Drosophila melanogaster: one gene and its partners. The protein of the gene in region 2 interacts with the protein of the main gene of each other region in a pairwise test. Each region holds a gene or a part of one and is shown on either strand. Other genes may lie near its edges.

The links. Proteins that work in one complex are often made in the same cells at the same time.
Region 1: the proteins of Dyb (region 2) and CG15728 interact in a two-hybrid assay, tested with the Drosophila melanogaster proteins (one large-scale study listed by BioGRID).
Region 3: the proteins of Dyb (region 2) and dcma interact in a two-hybrid assay, tested with the Drosophila melanogaster proteins (one large-scale study listed by BioGRID).

What each region holds. Positions count from the first base shown.
Region 1 is NC_004354.4:12,622,068-12,628,996, forward strand, and holds CG15728 (uncharacterized protein), read left to right. Parts: upstream 1-2,224; 5' UTR 2,225-2,364; intron 2,365-5,025; exon of another isoform or gene 5,026-5,077; intron 5,078-5,148; 5' UTR 5,149-5,165; coding exon 5,166-5,297; intron 5,298-5,353; coding exon 5,354-5,545; intron 5,546-5,609; coding exon 5,610-6,182; 3' UTR 6,183-6,378; downstream 6,379-6,929. Other genes in the region: Aven (apoptosis and caspase activation inhibitor), read right to left, coding at 6,488-6,929.
Region 2 is NT_033778.4:12,435,046-12,440,373, forward strand, and holds the start of Dyb (dystrobrevin), read left to right. Parts: upstream 1-2,299; 5' UTR 2,300-2,344; coding exon of another isoform or gene 2,345-2,364; 5' UTR 2,365-2,845; intron 2,846-5,328. Other genes in the region: DUBAI (deubiquitinating apoptotic inhibitor), read right to left, coding at 1-236; Tmem18 (transmembrane protein 18), read left to right, coding at 1,152-1,211, 1,276-1,393, 1,469-1,617, 1,674-1,802.
Region 3 is NT_033779.5:4,692,584-4,697,771, forward strand, and holds the start of dcma (decima), read left to right. Parts: upstream 1-2,137; 5' UTR 2,138-2,408; intron 2,409-5,188.

The sequences.
Region 1 (6,929 bases), on a different chromosome or scaffold from region 2:
ATGCATATATTTTGCAGATGACTTATTTCAATAACTGAGTGTGAAGATCTCTTATAATTCGCAACTAGTTCTGTCTCGAAATGAGTGTAGCTTCCACACTGTACCATCATATGGGCAGACAAATACTATGAAAAAATATTAAAAAAAAAAAATTAACTAGCGTAGATATATAAGAATTATTTTGCTTATTCAGTTCTTTCCATCGAGGATCGTCTGTAGCTACAGTTATATTTTCATGCCCATTTAGCTCGCTACACAAAAAGGAGGAGAAATGTTTAGCCACAAATTGAATCTGCGGTGAGTGAGTTAACGAGCGAGAGAGAGGTCTAGATGGATATAGTATAACCATGCCATAGTGTATGCCATACCATAGGACACCAGCTAACGCCAACCCAACCCAAGCCAACCCAACGAGGATATGGCATGATGATATAGGGGCAGACGACGTGGAACGGGTAGTAGTTTTCAAGTGGTGCAGAGCGGCACAGAACGCTAATTAAAAAGATACTTGATGGGAGCCACCGGAAACAAAACGGAAAAGCCAAAGAAGCGAGGCGGGCAATGCGAAAAAATGCGGGAAAAATGGCTGAAATGCGAATGAAAGGCAAAGGCGAATGGGATGGCAAGCAAGTTAACGTTGCCATGAAATCGTCTATGAAATGTGAATGTAATCTAATGAATAAAATGCATCTGCTAACCCCCATCATGCCAGCCACTTGCAGATACAGATAGATGATGGATGATTCTTTCACCGGTTTCCTTCGCGTTTTTTTTTTTTTTTTTTGATACCGCAAATTCTCACATTCATGCGGTTCATTTGCGCAGCCATTGAGATTTGAATGGCATTTTTAATTGGTACATTTTACGCAGCCATCCTTTGAGCACAAAGGCACCTCCTGCTCCACCAGCCCTTCTCCTTTGAGCTGGCCATCATTCAATTTGATTTGTATTTATTTAATGAGTTATTAATTGCATTAAGCTCTCGGCGTTGGAGAACTTTGCAACTAAAAAAAAAAAGGAATAAAGCCGGGAGAGTGGGGAAAAGTTTTTCGGCTTTTGCTCGCATTCAGGCTGAAAACTACGAAACTAAAGAGTTCGTACAATTTGCAGCTTTGAAAAAAAAACAACAGAAAATGCTAGTGCCAAAAGTGTAGCATACTTTTCTGCGCACTTTTGCCTGTGATTATGAATTTGGGTTTGGCCGACTAAAGAGGCGCGAGAACTTCAAGACTAGCCAAAACTATTAGCAAATCTAAATCTAAATTATATTTCCAAATTCCAAATTCCATCTTTCCATCTTACATTTGTTGCCTCTGTTACTTCATACATTTAAAATGGTAAGCAGCCCACGTAACATAAAATTATATTATATATATATATATAAATAAGTAAATAAATAGCAAGGTGTCAGAAATACAACATAAATATTCTTGAGATCTAAACAAATTGGACTTGTTAAAGTAATGATTGTTTTGGGCCGCATAAGTATTGTAAAATAATAAAGTTACCACAGAAGGCACTTGACTTTGGCCATGAATGTACTCACTTTACTCACAGGGGAGGAACTGTCAGTTACTCCCTGCCATTATATACCAATTTCAATTTAAATTCCAGCCTGCTGTGGCCCATCCGCGGGGCAGAAACAAAAATATATATATATGCATGTATATAAAAATAAAGGAAAAAAAATAGAAGTGAAGTTCGGAGAAACCGCAACAGCAATTCTCGACATAATGATTGTGTTGAGGGGCGATTATGTCATCATGGATGGGCAGGGCAAAAGGACTCGACACACTTGACTTCCGGTTGGAGGATGGCTGCGAGATGTTTGCCATATTGTGTGAAAATTTGTGTTTTCCCCCGTCCACTGCAATTGGCGGTGGTGGTTTCTCGTCTCGTTTTTGTGATTAAAAATGTTTGTCATTATCCGCTTGGAAAATCGTCCGAAATTGTGTTTGTGCCGCGGGCCGTGCCACACTTGCTTATTTCAAATCTGGCATCTTTATGCCTAATTGCCGCATTGTGTCCCATTGTGCGGCCATCGAACCTGTGGATTGAATCGAATCGGATCGAATCGAATCGAATCGTCTCACAGTCTCAGCCTCGAACCCCGACTGAGCCATACAGGTTGCCTCTGGCTAAGAGTCCATGGCTAAGGGAAAGCCACTGACTATGGCTTTCCATCGATCAGTTGCAATTTGTTGCAAAAGCGAATAGTGGTCAGCGGAATAAAAAAGATACCCATTGAAATATTAGTGAGCTCCTTGATAATTTGCTAATAATTGACGAGGAAGTGAGAAGTAATTTCATTGTACAAGTGAAGTATTCTTCCGCCAAGCTAAACATTTCATACAAAACGTACAGGTATGTCCAGTTTTAATTACATTCATTACGATTCCTGCCCCTTTTGTATATAAACTTTGAGATCCCCATCCATGGGGATGAACTTTATGAGACTCCTGAGCTCCTCGAACTGCATCTAGATATTTTAGAATTTTTGTATCTTTTCGTTTGATTGCTAATGATATAGTGAATCTCAAAGCATTCTCGCTTGTGCCCACCAGGAGCATATTGATCTCAAGGATTCGCTTGAACTTCTGGCACTGATCAAAAAGATCCCAAAGCTTTCTTTTTTGAGTTTTTCTTTGGTGCAATTTCCAGGTCATCACTCTCTTTCACGCTCCTAAGCTCCTAGAACTATCTATATCTATATATTTGGAAATTTATGTATATCTTTTTTTTATTGCTAATGATATAGTTATTAGAGCATATTGATCTTAAGGTCAAAAATAGTCCTAAGCTGTTTAAATAAAGGTTAAAGTTGGCCACAGCACTTACATATACATACATACAGGAAACTCTGTAAAACATGAAATTCTTTATTACTTGGGCACTTTTTCTTCATTACCCCCATCTTGCAAATTCTTTAAAACTGTTTCTAGTTACACAACGCATATAATTAATAGAAAATCAATATGTTTACCTTACCGAAAGAAATTCGCTTAGTATCATCAGGGCCGACAGAAATATTAGACTTATTTTCTTTGCAAGGGTCTATTCGATTTCTTATGTCGCGTCTTGCAAAAGTGGCTAATTCTCAGATGACATTTCGTGATAATTGGTGGGTGGAACGGTTTGGATTCCACTTGCACTGTGGCTATCATTTGTATACATACATCATACTTTCCAATTGTGTAAACAACAACTTCATTAGTAAACAAAAAGTTCGCTGGGTGGTTACAGAACGCAAATCCTAAGCCCGAAAACCGATTCCCTTTCAAATGCCACAAATCAGTAAATAATGACATGAAAATCTGTTGGCTTTTGTCAGGCCCCGCGGCCTCGAAGACCGAAAAATGAAAAAGTTAGTTGGATGGGGGAGGGTTTTCGGTTGCAAAAGTGTTGAGACAAGTGGGGTGGACAATTTGCCTTAAATTAGGCGTAAAATGCACAGATTGGTTACAACAAACAGCGCACACAAGCGGCTCATCAGTTCGGTCCACCCTCAAAAATTAAAGGGTAGCTACTTGCCACTTGTCATCACCATCTTGATTATTATTATCATCGCCATCCGACGGGAACCGGATATGATTGTTAGTATCTATTAGCACAGTTGAACCTCCAAATGATGGTTCCATAAATAATAATACCAGTCTTGTCATTTTTTTTTTTAAGTAAGATAAATAACTACAGTAAAATTTTTCTTATGATGAGCAAAAATACTCAAATGGAAAATGTAAACATCTTTTCAATCTTGTAGTAAAATAAAAATGTAAGCATCTTTTCCACTTACGGATGTTTGACTGTAATTGGCCTGGTCTGCGTTTCCCGTTCAACTTGCTGAACAACCCTCGCTAATTGAGCACTTTTGTTGCGTTTAATAGAGGGGGATTCTTGGGTTTTTACACTTGACGTAGATTTTTAGCTGGACGCTGATATAATAGATCATATTATGCTATAGATGTTCCCAGTTGATTAGCATACAATCGCTTCGCAAGCAGTGGCAGCTAAATTGAGGTTATGTTTGCAAGCAGTTCAGAAAGAGAGGGTTATATGTTGCCTACCCCTTTGCCATTTAAATTTGATCAACAAATACATGTGCATAATTAAAAACAAAAAGGAGAGCATAACACACACACACACACACACAGAGAGATTGCAAAAAAGTTGTTAATCTTTTCATGCCGACGCATAATTAAAATGTGAATATGGAAATTTCAATAGGAATCTGTGCAAAAAATGCCCCAAAAAAATAAAGGGGGCGATAAAAAAGCAGAAGAGCAGAAAGAAAAGACCAAGCAAAGGACGCACAAACACACACACACACACAGAAACTTAACGGTTTCCTGCTGTTATGGCCATCTTGCTTGCACCTCTTGCGCTTTTTACCGCCAGTTCGTTTGCGTGCGTGTGTGTGTGTGTGAAAGCAAGTAATTGCGAAATATGAAATATGAATGCATAATGAGCAGATATTCGCCAAGTGTGCAAGAAACTTGAAGCGGCGATGGGCGTGGCAGGTGGAAAAGTGGGAGTCGGAAACGGAGGCCAGGTGACTTTTATGCTAAAATGCGCACATCGCGCGTGCATTTGCATTTTGCCAGCCTTTTCGAAAGCAGTGCAAGGACAAGCACAAATACACACAAACAAAGGCGGGCACACACACAGGCAGGAAAAATCATAACTACAGTAAGCGTCCGATAGCAGCGACTCCTCTAAGTCCTTCAATTTTATGCGATTCAACTAGAAGTTCAACACAAAAGTGTATTTTGTCTAAAAATGAACATAACTATATAATTATAATATTTTAATATATTATTACAAAAAATTAATTTTAAATCATGGAAGATGTACATAGGTTCAAGGTTCATGAATTCAAATCAAAAGCTTCATAGTTAATTCCTAGACTTTTCAATTAAAAGTACCCACTTGCTGATTTCACTGTACTCGGCTTGGCCAAGATGGCAGCCAAGTGTGTTTGAAAAACATGTCAAAATGTTGTGGAGCTCATTAAAATAGCGTTGGCTATTTGCACACATCATATCTTTCAGTCACTAATTTGTAGAAGGAGGAGGAGAAGGTGAAGCAGCAGCAAATCCTTGAAGGCGCCTTTTCCCTGTTCAAAAGTAATGCATAACTCCCTTTTTCCAGCTTTTTCCTCAGATAAAATGGCAGAATACAACATGAGCCACATGGTGCGACCCCAGGGATTCAGTTTGGAAGAGCTGCGTCAGACTATGAGTCGATCGGCGATTCGGGAACAATGCTACTTTATTTATGCCACCGGCAATATTCTGGAGGTGATCCATATTCATATCATAATCACATTATCTAATTTATTCACATGTTCCGTTAGATTATATCTGGTTTTGATGAACTGCTCAACCAGGAGGGGATCCAATTCGGAGCAGATAAACTGGCTGCGGTGTATGTATGCGGTTTGATGGTTTATCTACTCCATCATGAGGACACGTCGGCCACCCAGGTGAAAAGAACTCTTTTCCTGCAAAAGTGCTTCAATTATATGGCATGCTCCGAGGAAAGCCATGTGAGTAAGCATATATATGTTTGAAATATATATTTTTTGATCCTTCCCTTTCTTTGCCCAACAGATCCACCAGGTATGCGTCCATGTCCTGGGTCTCTTGGATATCCAGAGTTCGAGCACAATGCTCAACCTGATCCTCGGCTGCCGCGTGGCCAGTCCGCTGTGCACAATGGCCAGCGTTGTGGCTAACTGTCTGCTCTGGGCCATGTTGGATCATATGTCGGACTTGGGCCTGGACTTGCACCGATTGCGTCCGGCTAACACACTGCTGCTCGTCGTTGCCGTGGTGAAGCCGCATATTTATGTAATATCCTATTTGCATTCCCTGCACCTGGTGGTCCGTTTGATATCCAGCATCCTGCTGATCGGACCATTCAATGCCCAGGGCCAGCAACTGTGCCAGGAGACCGATGTGCCGGAGGATTATATGAAACTGGCCAGGGACGATTGTTCGATATTAGTTCGCTGGCTAATCGCGATCGTTGATGAGCTGCGTCCGCTGATGGTGGAGAACAACGATTTGGGGCATCTGCATGAGCGCCTGGTGCTTTTGGAGTCCATATGTGAGCTTATGCAGCTCTTGCATGGCCATTTGGTTAAGTGTTACCAAGGCAAAAGTGGACCACAATGTAAGTAATAGCGAACGGAAACAAAGAAATCTGTTATAAATTCAGATACTTTGATGAGAAGAGAATTGAAATCTTCAATAACTTAACCTAACCTTTGAAACTTATTTCAAGAAACAATCGCATCGTATATATATGCAATCAACGATTTTATTATACACAATAAAAAGGCTCTAGCTTTAACTATAAAGTTACGAGGAAAACTCTAGATTTTGCAATTTTAATGATGCTACTTCTAAAAATGCAAGCACTTAGTGATTTGAATATTTCGTGTAAGCGTAAAAAGCTCTGGTAATAGTCCTCCTGAACTATGTAACTATTCATCCAAAACGGAATCCAGCCATTCCTCCACACCGTTTTTGCTTGCTGCCGATGAGGGTGTGGCCGGCTGCACCATAGGCATTGGCATCGTAATGGTTCCAGAGCCTATATCCAGTTGCGTATCGGTCATGGCCAATAGCTCGTCAAGTTCATCAGGTTCAGCTGCTGAGGCAGCAATTGGTTTTTCCGCCGCTGCAGGGGCAACGTCCTTATTGGACTTAGCAGAGGGAGCTCGCGACTTGGCGCCCCCATTGGCGTCCTTCAGAATGCACTGCTGGTAAACTGCCTCAGCCCGTTCGGCGGCCTTCTCTTGGGCGGCAATCTGAGCGCGGGTGAACAAAGACGCCGGATAATCCATACGCTTGTATAACGGAATCGTTTGCAGACCCACATTTAGGCGGGTGAGGTTCAGGGTGAAGTAAGCACTGGCAGCCTTG
Region 2 (5,328 bases):
ATGCTTTGGAGGTATGCCAGCAGGGCCTTAATATCCCGCTTGCCCGATCGGTTGGAGTTCAGGCTCTCGCCAGCGGGCGAACCCGTGTCCATGCCCTTTGGCAATACGTTCTCTTCGGCATTCGCCATTCCGTTCGCGGACATGGGTTTGGCGTTGGGCGGAATGCCGTTGCCAGCTCCTCCGGCATTATCCGAGGCATTATCACCCGCCTCGCTGTTATTCTGCTTAACGGCCATTTCGCGTTTCAATCGCTTGGCGTGGGCGTGGACGTGAGTGGCACAAAGGCTTGCGGACCACAGGGCCGACTGGAACTTCCAGTTGCCGATGGGCGGAGGCGTGGGCTTGCCTAGCGCCCGAACACAGCGGCTTTTTCGTTGCCTGCGACTCTGAGCGAGGAGTCTGAGCCGCGTGTCCTTGAACCGCGCTCCGTTACGTGTCGTCGTTACGATTTGACTGCGACCTTTCAACGGGTCTCGAGTGCGCCTCGATCCCTGCCCGATCCTGGCCAGAAACTCCCGCCACAAGCGCTTTAGAACAGAGTCCTAGACGAGTGTGGTGCACGGTAGGGTCGGTGGCCCGTGCCACATCTAAGGCGCCCCTTTTTTCGGATTACCCTGCTCGGCTTTAGCTTCGATTGCTTGCTCACACGTCGCCCGTTCGACTTAATAACCCGAATAGATTTGATTCGCCCTAAAAACTACAATTTTGACTGTTTTAAAACGAATTCTTTGTGATATTTTTCGGATTTGTTAATGTTGTCTACTGAGTCAGTGAAAGCGTTATCGACACGTTCAGACTGAATGACGGGCAGGGCGACTCTGCACGACAAGTCGGGGTGGGTGAGAATGAGGTGGCACAAAATTTGTAATTGCATTTATATGGTGAGTAATACATACTAAACGAAATAATAGTATTTTGATTTATGTTGTTATATTTAGCCCATAAAATAGTAAGTTAGGTCTTACAAACAGCGCTACCAGATCCAGTCAAAATTGAGGAAGCCTGAACGTCTATAGGCCTCCCAAAATGGCGTTGCCATGAAAAATGACAGCTGTTCGCTGCGAATGGCTATTTATGTTTGTTTTGACTCGGCTTTCGAATATATCGCAAAATATATACAGGAAACATTTATATTCACAAAAATCTGTACGATGCACCCAGGGCAAATTGAGGTCAACGAGATCAATGGCTATTGGACATTTCTGCTGAGCGTAAGATACTCGCCTATATACAATCAAAAATCAAGAATCCGGCAAGTTGTCACTATTTTTGCAGATCGATTGGAAGGATCCCTGGCTTATTGGCCTTATTTTGGCGCATATCTTAACCACCACCACTGCGCTGCTCAGCCGGAACAGCTCCAACTTCCAGGTTTTCCTCTTCCTAGTACTGTGTACGTGGACTTGGCGGCTTCCTTGACTTACCCGATAAATGACTCTGATTTTTGCATGTGCTTCATCTTCCTCAGTGCTGGCAGTCTACTTCACCGAAAGCATCAATGAGTTCGCTGCTAACAACTGGAGTTCCTTTTCCAGACAACAATACTTCGATAGCAACGGCCTGTTTATCTCGACAGTTTTCTCAATACCTATTTTGCTTAATTGCATGCTTTTGATTGTAAGTTATAGTGTTTCCACTGCATGAAGTGTGTATTTATCTTTGCTTATTTGCAGGGCACTTGGCTCTACAACTCCACGCAGCTGATGGTGACTCTAAAAACAGCGCAGCTCAAGGAGCGAGCTCGCAAGGAACGCCAGACTAAGGCGGATTCGGAATCCATAGCACATAAAAAGGCAGAGTAGAACTTACGCCTGTATTACATGCAGTTAAAAGCACAAGTAGAGCTGTGAAATTATATGTTATGCTTTAAATGGATTTTCCTGTCATCTAGATGTAGTTTGCTGCACAGCTCTCGTCTTTAAAATAAATTTAATTTAGTATAATCAAACTTATAGAATTTGTAAATTTAGGCTATTTTTACATCCTGTTTTACTTAGCGAAGTTACAAACCTAACATGCCCTTCATATTAAGCAAAAAATCACACCAGTTACCGTTGCCACCTTGGTAAAGCAGTTTTTACTGCCACCTAAAATTTTCTATATATATCACGTAATATGAACTATTTTGATATTTTTGACGAAATTAACATTATAGATCCAATCAGCTTATTGCCTGTATCAATTTCTGATCTGTGTGCCAAGACTGTAATTTCAAATTAGAAGCTCGTTGGACCTGTGTCATTTTTTAGTACGAATTCAATTGGGAGCCCTTCGTCGTCTGGTAACACTGTCCAACGATTTTGTTGTTGCTGGCTTGTGGGTGTCGAAGCAGTGTCGCGGCGCAATGTTGGAAGTGGTTTTTGGGTAAACAAAATCCGTTGATAAGATATTCGCACGGAGCTAATCGCAAATCGCGCTGCGTATTTACCGTTGGCAAGCCAGAAAAAAGTTTTGCATAGCATTGCGGTTTAAAGCCAGGCTCAAAATTCCTGCGAGCTCGCTTGTGTGTGTGCGTTTTTGCCGTCGGTGTGTATGTGTTTTGAGCCCATAAGCGTAGCCCGAAAAAAAGAAGTTTTTCTGTTACCATATTTTTTACCAAAGGCCAAAAGGGCGCAGCATCTTCGCTCTCTATCTCGGCGCTGCATCTTGCTCTCTCGTTCGCTAACGCGAGTTTGGCAACTCCGTTTACCGTTCATCGTTTATTGTGTGTAAACAGCAGGTGAAAATAAAACGCGATAAGTGCAGAGAAACAGGAGAAGGAGGAGAAAGAGCAGCAAGAAGAAGCAGCAACTCCGCGCAGCCCAACAAAAAGTGACGTATTAAAAAAGGTTGCTAATTACAAAAGGTAAACAACAAATAATGTGCGGATTATATTACCAAATTCCCGGGCATAAACAATACCAATAAAATGTTGCTAAGATTGCCCTTCCACCCCCCTCACTTACCCACTGAAATGCGTAGTAGATTTCCGCGATAGGAAAACTCGGATGAGTGACGCGTTGGCGACGCAGCGCACAGTGTTCATTCATAAAAAGTGTCTGCCCCCCTGCGCCCACTCCCAAAACACTCCCCCCTCCCCTCCACACTTTGAACCAAGCCTGTTTGTGGTTGCGCCTGGAATTTAGTTTACAACTAAATATGTTTGCGGGCAGCTAGGAGGAAAGTTCGGATTTGGTTGTTTTTGCTATGTGGGAAACCATAGTTAAACTATTTGCATTCCGTTGGAAAGTCTAGTGGTTCACGCCACGCCCCATGTTCGCTCGTTCACGAAATTATGAAATTGTGTAAATTATATTAAAAAGCTTAACGGGTATATTGATATCTCCTCTATAATACTTCATACAAGATAAGTTTAAGGAACTGAAATGTTTGAAGTTTTAATGAATTTCCTTAACTATTGCGTCTGGTTGACATCCAAGTTCGCATAGTTGAAAAATTCCATATCAAACTGAGCCGCATGCCTTAATAACTAGACCTTTTGCTCATTGAGATTAGATCACATACCGCCATATGGCAGTCGGTGAAATGATTAGCTCAGCGAATAATTAAGCGTCGTGCGAATGAAAAGTCACACACACACACACTGCAACTTGGTGTTTAGATTAGAGCATTTTGTATCTTAGCCCACCTTTGGCAATCGGTGATATCGAATAGCAGGAAAAACAATAATACGGAATTTATGGTCAGCGTGTCGCCAAAATGCCAAAGTCAAGCGAAATAAATACATAGAAATAATGAAAGAAAAAAAACAATCAAAATAACTCGGTGACATCATTTTGACTAATCGCCAATTTTAGCATTTGAAAAACGGCGGCTGCTCGCCCGGCCCACCAACAAGCGCGCGAAGGTGCGAAGGAGAGAGTCCACCAGGGAGGGGGCTGCGAGCGAGTGCGGGAGTGGGAGCGAGAATGAGAGGGGGAACACTCGTGGCAGGTGCGCCAAGCCGAAGTTCAAAACGAAGCTCAAACCCGAATGCCAAGCGGCATTCCGAACCACCTACAAGTCGGCAAGTAAAATGGATCGAATGCTCTTGCGATATCAGCGAGTTTCACTTTCGAGCCCCTCATCTATACACGAATACTATCTGCAATCGGAACAATCACTAGATAATCCCACGATCCAACATTAAGCGCATTGCTTTTATCACAGGTATTAAATCAAAGCCATGCATTTGGAAAAGTGCGCTTGCCATTTGCCAAATTTAAGTGGCTTTAATTGGCTGGTTTTTACGACTCATTGGCATTATGACGATCTTTAAATTTTACGATTAAATGCATAAATCAGGTGTTGAAGTGTAGTGCAAGTGGTTGCTACATATACCCCTACATAAATAGAATCACTCCAGAAAAATATGGCATTCAAGTTGAGTTAACTACTGGCTTGTATTGTAAGCTAAGAAATTGTTAAGTGGTAGCTATTCTCAAAAGCTTGCGCACAGGGGTGCCTTTCTTTAACTCATTATTATATCCATTTATATCCATTACGATCAAATATTCGTTATATATGGAAAATTGCCTAGCCTACCGTGACTCTATTGCCTGCCTGTTGATATTTCCCCCGCGGCAACTTCGATCCGATGCAATTAACTCGAACATATTGTGGCTCATTACGAGGGGCATTCCAATCTGAAGACGAAGCGACTCGATCTAGTTCACAGATACAGAGCTGCATACACGCATCCCACTGGTTATTTCGGTTAATTTTGATGTGTGCTGCTAAGAGCCGAGAGTGCAGAGGACTAGGCACCACTGCTCCACATCCCCAGATATTTCCGACACTACGTGCGCTGCGATGCGACGTGTCGACCGGGTGGGTGGAAATTTGGAAATGTTGTGAAAAGCTAAATGAGGCGTGACACGAAAAAGAAGGCAGAGGGGAAAAAAGAGCAAAGCGACAAACACGCAGAGCAGCATGGAAAAAAAAAGAAAAAAACAAACAAACAAACAGAGCTGAGTGCGGCCACCCACAACATGACAGCCGCCACAACAATGGCCATAGTAGCGTCGAGGAGCAGAACGAGAACGTGGTGCCCACCAAATCTAGCCACGGAGTAATTTCGGCCTAGAAAACAAAGAAAACGAAGAAAACTGCCCAGTTGTCTGCGGAAAAGACAAAGGAAGAATGGAAAACCAAGAGAGCGGAATGAAAAAGGGGGACCAATTCCGCACAAGGCGCACAATTAACCCTTTCTTTGAAGTCAGCGGCGAATGTATCCACTGTCCACTTTCCACTGGGCTTTAATTAGTTTATGGAACAAGCGTCCCGGCTCGGCTAACTGCAATAAAATTAATCGTTTATGCTGTAATCGCATTTAGCGGCGCCGACCTC
Region 3 (5,188 bases), on a different chromosome or scaffold from region 2:
GCTACTAGCTTCTGTGCTTTTCTCCTTTAAATGCTAATGCCATTGATTTCGGCACACAAATGCAATTCAGTTGCTATGCACGAAACATGTTAAGCATACGCAGCGTTGCCCCGGCAAAAGTTTGTGCATGCAAATTTGACGATAAACTTGAACTAATTAAAAAGTTGCGCTAAAAAGTTGCATTAAGCCAGAGACCGCAAAGGTTGTGCACTATTTTTCCGCCAGAATGTTTTCTCATCTCGTTGGCTGCGTGGCGGGTGTGTTGACAAATTGACATATTGTGGCTACAGAAAGTTGCAGTTGTAAGTCGTTGCCATTTCTCTTGCAACATGTGGCACAGCGGGAGGTGTAATACTTGCGGCTAATTTCGAGTTTGTTGCTCTAAGCCCGAAGCATTTCGTATCTGGCTTCCTGGCCCTATGCTCAGCTCACACAAAACTGATGGCCACAGGATAAAACGGGGGCCCAAACAAAACCGCACACAAGCTACCAGCGGTTTACTTGCCCCTCAGCAATTGCTGTTCGAAAAAAAGTGGCACTGGATAAAAAGCATGTTGAACATTCTGTTCTGGCCAAAAACTGCGGGAGCTGCAGTTCAAGAAATACAGCCACTACTTGACTGGAGTTCAGTTAAAGCACACTTCGTGTTTACTATCAATAACTTATTTTATTTACTTTTAAAGTGCTTCTGCACACGTACGTTGGCTTAATCTTTATTTGTGGCTTATTTGCCTGGCTAGCGTGAGCTTTACATTGGCTTAGTTTAAACCTGCTTACCTTGTTATGTGATAAATCTTTTTTGCCAAAACTTTATCTTTACCGGTTTAAATGATAAAGAAGAAATGTTATGTAAAATGGAAAAAAAATATACAATATTTATTAATTAAGAGAATGAAATATTTCATAATTTTTATAAACTTTAATATATAAAACCGATATAAATTTTCAGTGATAGCAGCCACATATCGGGTATCACAGACTCGGGACTCGTTGGAGCATTTATTTTTTATAATTCACTTGAGCCTTGTTAAGACCGCTGGTAGAGCATGGCTAGCATGTGTGTGTTTATGGGCCACCACCTCATCATCAACTCGTGTCCGTTTCCGTGCCCCACACTTCTCGCACCACTTGCAACCACTTGAATTTGCTGCGGTTGTTGCTGCTGTTCGTATTTGCCATGCCATTTGCTGGAGAAATTTTTCTTGATTGCCTCGCCCCCAGCAGTTTGCTTGTTTTTCGCTTATGCGTCGTCATCTTTCCACATCCTTTTACCATTTTCCACGGGTTTTCCCTTTTCCGTATTTATTTTTTACTCTGCTTTTTGTTCTCCTGGCAGACAGTGATTTTGACATTTCACGCGCATTTGTTTGTTATGCTTCTCTGGCCAGCAGCATTGACAGCGCGGGAAAGGTCAACATTTCCCTTTATTTTTTTTTTTTTTGCATAAGTGCGTAAGGCCATGTATTCATAGAAATCGTAGTGGGCCATAATAAAAATAAGGACTGTGGTAGTGGCACGCAGGCTCATTAACATTTGCGAGGCACGTGGCGGGAATGACGCTAACTCAGTTGCTCCCCAGCGTCGCATTCGGCTTAGCCAAATTGATTTTCCGTCCTGCCAACAAAACAATCTGGCACAGCGAGAGAAAAACATAACAATATCAGCATCAGTCACATAACCATTGCCAGTTTTGCATAGCCTTTTCTGTTCATAAGCCAAGGGTTTTATGATCACCAGTTATCCGAATTTCGGCCAATTCGATTGCTCATTTTTATGTGGAAAATATTTATGAATCGATACGTTTATAAAATATAAAGCACATTTATAAATGCAATATCTTTATCTGAGGAACGGAGTCTTTTCTTTTCCGTTTCTAACTCATAAAAACTTAGGGCTTACTTTTTGCAAGGAATACATATTTATTTATGCACAGAATTTTTCTCTGTATTCCCAAAAGGGGAAATAAACATCAGACCAACACAGAATTCCACTCAAAACAATTATGAATGAATGGCCAGAAGAGCGCTCAAACCAGTTAACAGAGCAGCTGTTGCTGTCGAGTCTATGTTAACGCTTTCACTTGGCCAACAGCCGCAGCTTCTGGCAAGTATTCTGGCTTTTAGTCCCACAACAGACGTCGAGGCGAGAACACGCGGCCCAAAAGACGTGCGCATGTCAAGTTGCGAGCTGCGTTTGGTTTTCGATTCGAGCCACATGGCGTATACGCGATACGGTCTGTGCCACTGCCTGCATTGAGTACTGAGTCAATAATGGTCGGTGGTCAGTGCTGCGGCTTTAGTGCGTGCTGAGCTGAGTAGCAGATAATGTGTCAATAATTGAACTGGACAATCGGCATTGCTCGATCCAGTATGTGAATAGCCGACACTCAACTGGAAAGGAACTTCGATGTAAGCATAAATAGCACCCAGAAACTTTAAGTGTTGGTGTAGTAAAAGTGTGAACTTAAAGCATGTACCACTTTAACATGTCTGAAACATGCGTAGGAAACACAAGTTAACAATATTTTCTGCTTTCGACTAAGATAAAGAATTAGTCTTGTTGTTTAACACCAAAATCTGCTTTTATTTAAGAAAAAAAAACGACATCAGTCAAAGAGACAATAATTAAATTTCGAGACACAAAGGCCCCTTATTTCACTTAACCCAATCAATTAGATCAAATAAAATATCAATACAAAATAGATTAAAAGAGGGCGCAGCACCGAAGCAAGTCGAATAAATAAATGCAAATAAAATAAGTTCAAATCGGATCAGCAGAGTGACGTATTTAAATTTCACCAGGGGCAAATCGAGCCGCCACGTAGTTCGACATTCGAGCCGTCATAAGCCGGAATTCGGAGGGGATTGCATTAGGGAAGTTCTTACTTTCTGGTGCCGCTCGAATTTCCCCAGGGCACTTGGGATGCACGTGAGCTCTGTGCCGATGGATTTTCCATTCCGCATTCGCCCCGTTTTCCCGCTCCGATACACATTTTTTTGCGACGTTTGTCAACACCATTTGGCCTCTATTTGATTTGCATATTGCTACCTGTCTGGTTTTCCGAGAAGCCTGTGAACGTGCGTGAAAAGTAAACAGGGGATAGGATGGGCGAAACAAAAGGGACGGCAAACGTGATAAAATAGGTGGAAAAATAGCGGATAAAAAATGAAAACATTTGCCGGAAAACAAAGAAAATTATCTGACCAGATGCCCGGGCTGTCCGTTCTCTCTTCCCCGGGGGAAGAGTAAAGTTGTAATAAAAAATAAAAATAAAACCCGGGGGTCGCCAGTGACAAGTGACAGGTTGCTTGTTTGCCGGGCCGAATAATGTGGTCAGGTCCGTCTGATATGGCCGCCTAATTTGGGAGACGCTTTTATTGTTTGCCCACGGACATGGCGTCATTATCTGCTGGCATTTTTGTGCGCTCCCCATTTGTTTACACGCACTTTTAACGTGTTTATTCGGCCACAACGCAAACTAATTGAAACACACCGGGCGTATACTTATTGTAATGCCCGTGGGCGTGTCACGTTCCACGTGCAATCAGTGGCCGCCTTGAAATCCACTCGTCTGCAATTGCAGTGCACGCTGCACCCTATCACGCCCCCCATTTGCTCTTTGAGGCTTTCACTCGCAGGACCCACTGTCATTTGGCCCTCAATGCCAGCAGCTGAAAGCTGAAACAACAGCTCACTGCTTCCACTATCCGTAGTTCTCGCCCTCGTCCTCATCCTCGTCCTCATCCTCGTCCTCATCCTCGTCCTCGTCATCATCATCATCGCCATCCGCCGTAGTCGCGGGTACGACATATTCGCTCAGCGGTTCACGCCGAGGTTGAGGTTGAGCCGAGCCAAGTGAGTAAGTGAGTGAGTGAGTGCCAGGAGCGGCAACTTGTTTACCTGCCTGTGTTTTAATGAAATGCAAATGCAAACACAGCCGTGAAGCACCATGGGCTCCATAGGCTCAAAGTGGGCCAAAAATAGGTGAAGGATTAACAGCTAGCGGAATCCATTACCGACTCTGTATTTTTGATATTTTATTAACACCTACACAAAATTACATTGAAAACAATTTCTTTTAGAGACCACAATTCAAAAATAAGTATAAACGCAACGAGATAAGCTTGAATATTTAAAAGCAAAGGCAATTCATTATTAAATAGTTTTGAGTTTTATTTGCATACAACCTTGCGGATTTTCATTTAAGTTAAAAACACAGAGCACACACATCAATTTAAGTGGCGGATGTTGTGATTGGTTAGCTGTATAAATTTGAAACAGCAGTGTTTGTTTTCATAAGCCCGCTCGATGGCTTCGCAAGATTGATTGCATCCAGAGAATAGATCGAAATAGACCTCCGAATGTGAACGTAAACACGCCACAGTGCCCACCTGTATCCGCCAGGTAATTTTTCCTGGCCCTCTGCAATGGCACTTAGCGGTAATGGGGTTACTGCCAAGGAGCCGCACTCGCTTGAGAATGTCCCTGATTTTGTACGCAAACACTTCAATTTCCGTGACAGATGACAATTTGCCACAATTGCACATTGCAGTGCAATTAGATTTAGTAAATTTTTAACTCCCATTTGGCCGGCATTAGATTCGTATGTAACACAATTTCATTCATGCCAGTTGGTATTGGCCATCTTGTCCTGCATTCGCATAAATAAATTGGCAAAAGATTCCTTTACGGCCAAGTGGGATGATCTTTAGCCAGCAGCTGGGTCTTAAGTTCACATTGGCACCGGGGTCGTAAAAGCGGATCTAAGCGCCATTTCAAAATTGCCTGGGATTGACCGCCATCGCGCTGGATTTTGACTTAAAGTGCCATTCGGATATGCATTAAATTTATGGCAATACATTAAACTAAATACTCCTCATCGAAGCTATCAAAGGTGCCGCAGCGGAAATTGAACGTGACAAACTTATGAAAAGCGCTAAAACATGTTGGCCTAAGCGGCTTTTTATGACAGATACTCAATTTCCTAATGGCACCGGTGGACGCAACCGAGGTTGGTAAAAAAAGCAACCAGATTTGTATCTAAATATTGGCATGCCATGCTCGACAAGTTTAAAGTTTTAATTAAACAAGTACGACGAGGCTAATTACTGCATTATGATAAACAAAACAGAAAGAGCACTTTAGACTTTCAGCTAACTTTGTAATAATGTCCAGGATATTAAGCTAG